2 linked regions of the Sus scrofa genome follow. Each later gene encodes a partner of the first gene's protein in a complex. Links are inferred from orthologs where the notes say so. Each region holds a gene or a part of one and is shown in the gene's direction. Other genes may lie near its edges.

What was found. Proteins that work in one complex are often made in the same cells at the same time.
Region 2: CNOT2 (region 1) and CNOT8 share a complex: the UniProt entries of both Homo sapiens proteins name them as parts of the CCR4-NOT complex. The link is inferred for Sus scrofa from reciprocal best matches to the Homo sapiens genes CNOT2 and CNOT8.

Annotation. Positions count from the first base shown.
Region 1 is NC_010447.5:34,529,895-34,533,526, forward strand, and holds part of CNOT2 (CCR4-NOT transcription complex subunit 2), read left to right. Parts: intron 1-961; coding exon 962-1,087; intron 1,088-2,783; coding exon 2,784-2,908; intron 2,909-3,632. UniProt on the Homo sapiens protein: Component of the CCR4-NOT complex which is one of the major cellular mRNA deadenylases and is linked to various cellular processes including bulk mRNA degradation, miRNA-mediated repression, translational repression during translational initiation and general transcription regulation.
Region 2 is NC_010458.4:68,349,107-68,353,283, reverse strand, and holds the start of CNOT8 (CCR4-NOT transcription complex subunit 8), read left to right. Parts: upstream 1-1,263; 5' UTR 1,264-1,385; intron 1,386-3,122; exon of another isoform or gene 3,123-3,170; intron 3,171-3,182; exon of another isoform or gene 3,183-3,366; intron 3,367-4,177. UniProt on the Homo sapiens protein: Has 3'-5' poly(A) exoribonuclease activity for synthetic poly(A) RNA substrate. Its function seems to be partially redundant with that of CNOT7.

The DNA of each region.
Region 1 (3,632 bases):
AGATTGAAAATGGTTATAATACACTAGATGAAACAGATTTAAGAAAACTATAGTGCAGACTAATTCTAAGGTCAAAAATTCTTTGAAAATTACGAATGTAAGATTATAAGGGTAATAAATAATAAACATTGAAAAGAGGTCAAGGTAATGATTAAAATAGGCAAAGTAGAAATGTTGGGCTAAATTTTATTTTTTTAAAGAAGCTGAATTTTTAAAATTGAGCGAAAATAAATTTTATTCAATATATATTTATTGAGCGCCTACTGTGTAATAGGTAATAAAAGCTGGGGTTTGTATCATAGTCCCATACAGTTCGGACACTAACCAGATGTGGGAACCCTACATATACCATACATTCTCCAGCCCTACTTACACCCTCACCTGCAAGACACACACTTTCTCCCTCCCTCCCTCTCTCTCCCTCTCTTTCTCCCCATCTCTCCCCTCATATACATGCACATTTGTGTATGGGACCAATAGATCATAGGACGAAAGAAATCCCTAGGGTTTCTGCTTTCTTTGCCTGTGCCTCCAATATGATTCAGGCCATTGGCAGGACGCGCTGTCATTATCACATCTGTGTTATAAATGAAGCTCCAGGTGTTCCAGGTACAACCTCTGCTTTTAGATGGCGATGAAAAGAGCAGTTTTATCACAACAGCCTCCCCTCTGGCTAACTAACATTTCACAAGGGAAATGTTACTCTTTATTCCCTATCTCAAGCCTCTAGGATTTGGGATTTTTATTATGCTAGTAGGTACATATTGCTTGGCTGAGATGTTCGTAAAGTTCTTCCACATGAGGTTGATCCCCAGATGTTTATTGTGTATTTATGTATACCAAATACAGTGCTGTACATGGTTTAAGAAGAAGGCACTATCATTTATATTATACTTGGTCTTTAATAATCTTTTTAAAATGTTTGTAGAACCAATAACTAGTGTTCTTTCCTATTATTTAGATGGAAGTGAAAATGTGACAGGATTGGACCTTTCAGATTTTCCAGCATTAGCAGACCGAAACAGAAGGGAAGGAAGTGGTAACCCAACTCCATTAATAAACCCCTTGGCTGGAAGAGCTCCTTATGGTAATTAAACTTTTTAATGATGTCCAGTGGAAACTTTGTGTTGTACAGAAGTACACACACACACGTGTACTCACATGTTTTTATGTGTTTTGTAGTCAGAATAGTGCAGTTTTATCAGAGTTGATAATGCAGAGTGCTTTTTCCTCCCGGGACACCAAAATAGTGTTCCATACTTAGTTTGTATGGAAACCCCAAAAGGAAATTATTGGTATTCAGATGTTTTTCTTCTTCTGGCATTTCTGCCTTAATACTAAACCTTAATGATTATTTGTAGTCTGCCTTTTCTCAGTTTGTCACATATTTTTTAAAAGAATGCATTCCCACATTCCTAGTAATTAATAAATTCTGGGATGATTTTTTTCTACATCTCTCAGCCTCCGCACTTTTGACATTTGAGTCACATAGTTCTTGTAAGCTGTCTTGTGCATTACAGAATGTTTACACATCCCTAAGCCTCTATTCGGTGCCAATAGCATCCTGTACCCCTACCCATACCACCTCCCCACCCCCCACTGTGAAAACCACAGGTATCTCCAGGTGTTGACAAATACCCCATGGGAGGAAAAGTTCCCTCCTCTTGAGAACTGCTCATGGGTCATGTCGTTTATGTAGTCTTTCGGTCACCCTTTTTACTGTCTTTAGTAAAGAAGAGATTTGGCTCATAGAACTAGACATAAAGATTATGTAACAGCTGTGTAACCATATTATTTTAATTCTTTGCACATAGTTGTTTCCTTTTGAGAGAATCTGATAAAGACCAGTAGCAGAAACAGTGAACTTAGAAGAGGGGTCATTTCATCACTTTTCTAAGAAAACTGTTTTCCCCATTTTCAACCAAGAAGAATTTCTCTGTCTTTCAGAATATGAATAAAAAATAATATGTGAAGAAGGGAAAAATTTATTATTCACATTCTAAAATTTCCTAATTAGTCTCCCCCCTAAAAAAAACCAAAATGATCTGCCCTGGAAGTTGAGTACCTAGCTACTTGATTCTCAGTTCAGACTCTAATGTTTTTAACCTTTCCTCATAGGTCCATTTTTTCATCCCTTTAATCATTCCCGTTGCTCTCCTTGGACCATCTCTAGTTTCTCCATATCGTTCTTGAATTGTGGAGCCCCAAACTGGATATTGTTCTCCAATAAGGGCCTGACTAATGCCAAGTATAGTGGGAGGATTACTTCCCAGTTCTTGCATGTTTTACATCTATTACATGGAGTCCAAGAAAATCTGAAATAATATGGAGTTGTTTTGTAATTGATTGCAATTTGCTCACTCTGTAAGTCACTTTCAAGTAGAATACTGATGTGTTCTTTTAAAATTTATTTTGTTCATTTGTTTTTGGCAGTTAACTGGTATTTATAATAGCTAGTCAGATATTAAAAGCACTTTTAAACTGAAAATTTTAATAATTATTACCAATATCAAATTATGTTTTTAAGCATCTATATATGACATTAGATTAGAATTATAGGATTATTACTTATTTCCCTTGTATTATTTTATGTATTTAGTTATTAATCAATATATAAAAATTTATTCATTGTTATCCAGAATACTCATTTTTTGAAGTGTGCTTTCAAAGCATAATAAGAAAATCCTTTTGGTATATTATCATGAGGAAAGTAAATTTTTATAATTTGTAGCAGTTTATCATAAATATCAATTGCAATTCTCTGAATTATTTTCATTACATAGTTGGAATGGTAACAAAACCAGCAAATGAGCAATCCCAGGACTTCTCAATACATAACGAAGACTTTCCAGCATTACCTGGTTCCAGTTATAAAGATCCAACATCAAGTAATGATGACAGTAAATCTGTAAGTAACTGAGAATTATGTGAGTTATGTAGTTTTTCCCCTTCAGATTTCTCTTCTATTAAGTTTTATAGACAAAATTAAGTACTATCACAAAATTGTTTATCTTGAATATCTGTAATCTAACTTCTGAAGAATGTGGGAAACCTGTATAACTTAGAAGATAGTCTATTTTTTTCCTATTTCATATAGGTTTGCCAATTTCTGTTGAACTTCTCAGAGTTAATTTAGACTTTTATTGTAGTCCCTGTCAGCTGGATCCCATGAAGTTTGATATTATAGCCTTCTAAGGAGCTGTGTTTTTCTTGAGTAAGTTTTCTCCTTGAAGAATCTTTATACACAATTTTATTCCTGTGTTGATTCAGCCAACTCAGCTTCCTCTTTCTGATTTAACGGATATGTTTATTTCTTCCACATTTCACTGAAAATAGTTTTTTATGTGTGTGTGTGATGGGAGTTTGTATATTTTTTTTTAAATAATTGATGAAGATTATTGGGTAAGAATTAAAATAAGTAAGAATTTTAAAAGTTCACATATTCTAACTTATCTTGGAGGTGTTTTATGGTAATATTTTAGGTAATGTACTGTGTTTTATATTTAGTTTATCTTCTGAATGAAGTATTGAGGAATGTAACCTCAAATGTACCCCAAAACATAAAGTTCTGAGATAGGTAGGGTTTTTTGTTTTGTTTTGTTTTGTTTTTTTTAAATCTGTGACTGAAAAGC
Region 2 (4,177 bases), on another chromosome or scaffold:
CCTGGCTCAGCGGAAACAAAACTGAATAGCATCCATGAAGATGCAGGTTCGATCCCTCGCCTTGCTCAGTGGGTTAAAGATCTAGCGTTGCCAGGAGTTGTGGTATAGGTCGCAGGTGTGGCTCAGATCCTGCGTGGCTATGGCTGTGGTGTAGGCCAGCAACTACAGCTCTAATCTGACTCCTAGCCTGGGAAACTCCATATGCCAAGGGTGTGGCCAAAAAGAAAAAAAAAAAAAAAAGAATTTTGAGGGAGTTCTTGTTGTGGCTCAGCAATAACGAACCTGACTGGTATCCATGAGGTTGCAGGTTTGATCCCTGACCCTGCTCAGCTGGGTAAGGATCCAGTGTTGCTGTGAGCTGTCATGTAGGTCTCAGACTCAGCTCAGATCCTGAGTTGCTGTGGCTCTGGTGTAGGAAAAGAATATAGTTCCCACTTCCATATGCCAAAGATGCGGCTCTAAAAAGCAGAAAGAAAAAAAGAGTTTTGAAACTTGGGCTCATGGAGTGAGTGGTATTATATGCCTGGAGGCATTTACCTTCTGCCCCACTTTCAAAATATTTCAAACACAAATATGTATTTTAGCTTTTCCTACACATTTCCTAGCTTAAGAAATGTACCTTGTTAGATTTACTTAGAATTGGTAATAATAGAAAGGTTTGTCTAGCTAAGGATATCAGCCTGCCTGGTTCTTACAGAGACCCATTTTGCAACCAATGTTTCTGTTTTTTTATACCTATACTCCCCCAGCTGAGAAGATGTGTTCAAGCCTTACTTTCCATAGTCTGTAGTTCAAAAACAATCGTTTTGGAAGTTCCCTTGTGGCGCAGCAGGTTGAGTTAAGGATCCAGTGTCGCTGCATTTCCCTTAAAATGTGAAATTATATTATTGACTATGTTCTTTTCCACCTACCCTTTGATTCCTTTGGTGCTTCTCCCTGCCATCAGCGGTTTACACAATTGTTCCAGTTTTGCAATAGCCTAAGTGCAACATAAAATCCGTTGTTCCACAAATACTCCAAGTTCTCTGGAAATACAAGCGATCAGTGTGTTCATTTTACCTTTACCTTCAGTAACCTGAGAAATGAACACAGTTCTGGGAGAGGGGGTATTGTGGGGTAGGAGATGGAGTGTGTTTCCTGTTTGATTGTTTCAGCAGACACCAGGACCAGTGCTGCAGGAAAAAACAAGCTGTTCCTCACATGACTAGATCCCCAGAGGGCTATCCTCTCCTGAAAGTAATTACAAGTGTATGAAAGGACATTAGAAACTCACAGGACGGGGGAAAGGAGCGTCTTGCCTGCTTTCTCGGCACAGTATTGCTGAACAGAATGATTAAGTCTGCAGCACTAACACAGACTGGATATCTCACGGATGACAAACTGAGGCAGGCCAGAAACACTTCTTTTTTCTTTTCTTTTTTTGTCTTTTTGCCTTTTCTAGGGCCGCACCTGAGGCATATGGAGGTTCCCAGGCTAGGGGTCCAATCGGAGCTATAGCTGCTGGCCTACACCAGAGCCACAGCAACGCCGGATCTGAGCGGCGTCTGCAACCTACCCCACAGCTCACGGCAACGCTGGATCCTTAACCCACTGAGCAAGGCCAGGGATCGAACCCGCAACCTCATGGTTCGTTAACCAGTGAGCTGCGAAGGGAACGCCTAGGAACATTTCTTGGTTGAATACACTTATATATCTTCCTTAGTGCGGTGTGGTTTTCCTATGTATTAACACAGACATTGTGTGAGATTGTTACTCATATCTCTATGTTATGGGAGAAGGAAACAGACTCATCAGGAGGGGAGAAGAGGAGGCGTGTTCAGAAGGTGCATTTGATGGGTTGGGAGTGCACTTTCCTGGAGACTAGCCTTTGGGACTCTAGGTTAGAATTGCCGATGAAGGCTTGCCCTGCCTCCAGCCTGGGAAACGGATGTGGGGTTTTAGAGATTGCTTTTAGGAGGTAATGTTTAAACGTAGAAAGGCGCAGTGATTCGGGGGTGAATTTGAAATCCACTTATCAGCAGCCCCCTTCGAGTGGAGGCATCTAGGAGTGTAACTAGAGCCATGCTCTGCGGAGTCTGCTGCACCGTCCCTCAGGGATAGAGTGGAGTTTCTGAGCCGGTGACTGAGGGCGGCCTGGAATTGTCAGCTGTGTGCGGGAAACCAGCGCTTTGTCTTCTCTCCCACAGCTGGAGAACGCGAGGCAGCGCTGAACCTTCCCCGCCTGGTCAAATACTGCCAAGGACAGGTGTTGGCAAAGAGCTCTCTTCTCAAATAGGATTCACAGTGAATCGGAGGGAAGGTGGGGGCTAAAAGGATACTGCTAAGCGAGGCCGGGGCACCACTGCTCTCGTATGGAGGATCCCACGAGCTCGCCTAGCGTCCGCCAGGTCTCGGAGGTTCTCCGAAAGCGGGAGGGCGGCAGCGCTGGCCCAGTGCCTCCCCCACCGGGCAGCGTCTTCTTTGTTACCCGAGCAAACCCCAGCGGGCTGGCTGCTATGGTAATGCTGGCTGCCCAAACCGGCGAGGGTGGGAGGAGGGAGGCGGGCCTCGGCGGACGTCACCCAGACTCGGTTTGGGGGTGCTGGCCCACCCACAAACAATTGTTTGCCGGAAAGGAAGCTTAAGGCAGAAGTTTTGTAAGTGGGGCCGCGTTAGTACAGAAGGAAGGGGGTCAGGAGCTCCCCCAGCGATCCTGCCCCCAACTTCGCTCCCGGCAACGATTTTAACGGTCTTTCAAAGAAGGGAGGAAGGGACTTTGGTAATTTAGGGTATTTGGTCAGACGGGCCACACCCTTTGCTCTAGCAAGGCACGCCCCCCGCGGGGATGGGCTAGTTCTAGACCACGCCCCTTCCCGAGCGCGCGGAAGGGGAACCGACATGGAGGGGCGGTCCTCAAACTGAACTGAACCGACGCAACTAATCGCGCGTAGGCTTGGGGTGGGTGGAGGCAAGGTTCCGAAGGCCTCCTCCGAGGTTGCCCCGCCCCGCCTTTTTCGCGACTCGCTCTTGGTTTTGCGCCTGCGCGTCGCTCTCGCGAGCTCTCGCGCTGAGCGAACACGGACAGAGTCTCCGGGGGCGCGCAGAAGGGGAGGGGCGGAGAGGGTCAGGCGCGCGCGTTTGCTGTGACGCGAAGAGAGCAGGCGAGTCGGGCGGATCGGATGGATAGAGTGGTACGACCAGATTGTTTGGTGGGTGGTGCGTAAGGTCGCTCTGGGCACGAGGGCGCCCATCTCACTAGGCCGCTTGGTTCTAGGAGCGGATCCCGGGCAGGGTGAGAAGAACGTCGGGTCGGGGCAGCTGCTACAGCTCCCGGGGAGTCTGCCCCGCAGCCCGTCTGCCCGCGCTTCGCGGGCCCTGCGGGTCAGGGTAAGCGAGCCCGCGCTAATCAGAGAGGAGTGTGGGATGAGAGTGTGTGGGAGGCTTTAAGGGCCTGCGGGAGGAAGAGGAGTGTGAGTATGCGTGAGGGACTGGGTGTGTGAAAACAAAAAGAGGCCCATCGAATAATAGCCGTAATAACTACCACTGCCACACGGTAATATTCTAGTGATGTGTGCCCGGACTTTACAAAGCACCTTGTATGTTTCATTCTGTTAACCTCTACTGCAATCCTCCAAGATGTTTACCGTCATTAAACCCATTTTACAAGAAGGGAAAACTGAGGCACGAGAGAGGCTAAGTAACTTATGCAAAGCCAAACACAGCTAGTCCATGTCCTGATTTCGAATTTAGGTCTGTCTCAAAAAAAAAGGGGGTAGTTAAAAGGAGGTGGAGAGGGCTGAGGGTGGTTTTAAGTGGAAGAGTCATCCGGAAAGAGAATCGAAGATAACGGGAGACGGTGGGAGGGAGAGGACCAGAGTTTGGAACCTTGCGGGCCGCCTCCTTCCTCCTGGTTCTTGCACAAGTTTTCCTTTTCTTTGGCTTCGTGACCCAGAGCTCTTGGCTCTGTAGGAGCCAGCTCACAGGCCTGGGCCACATGAGTGGTTTTAAGAACTGGTTGAACTGCGGTTCCGTCCAGGGTGGTGTCTTGGGACACTGTTTGGCTGGGGCTCCTGGGGGCCGGGGAGGGGAGGATGGCGGCCCCCGCGGCGGCGTATGGAGTTGTACCCTCTTCTGAGCGGCTGCCATTTCTTCTAAAGCGCTGCTACTTCCTTTTCCATTTTATCTCTGCGCGGCAAAG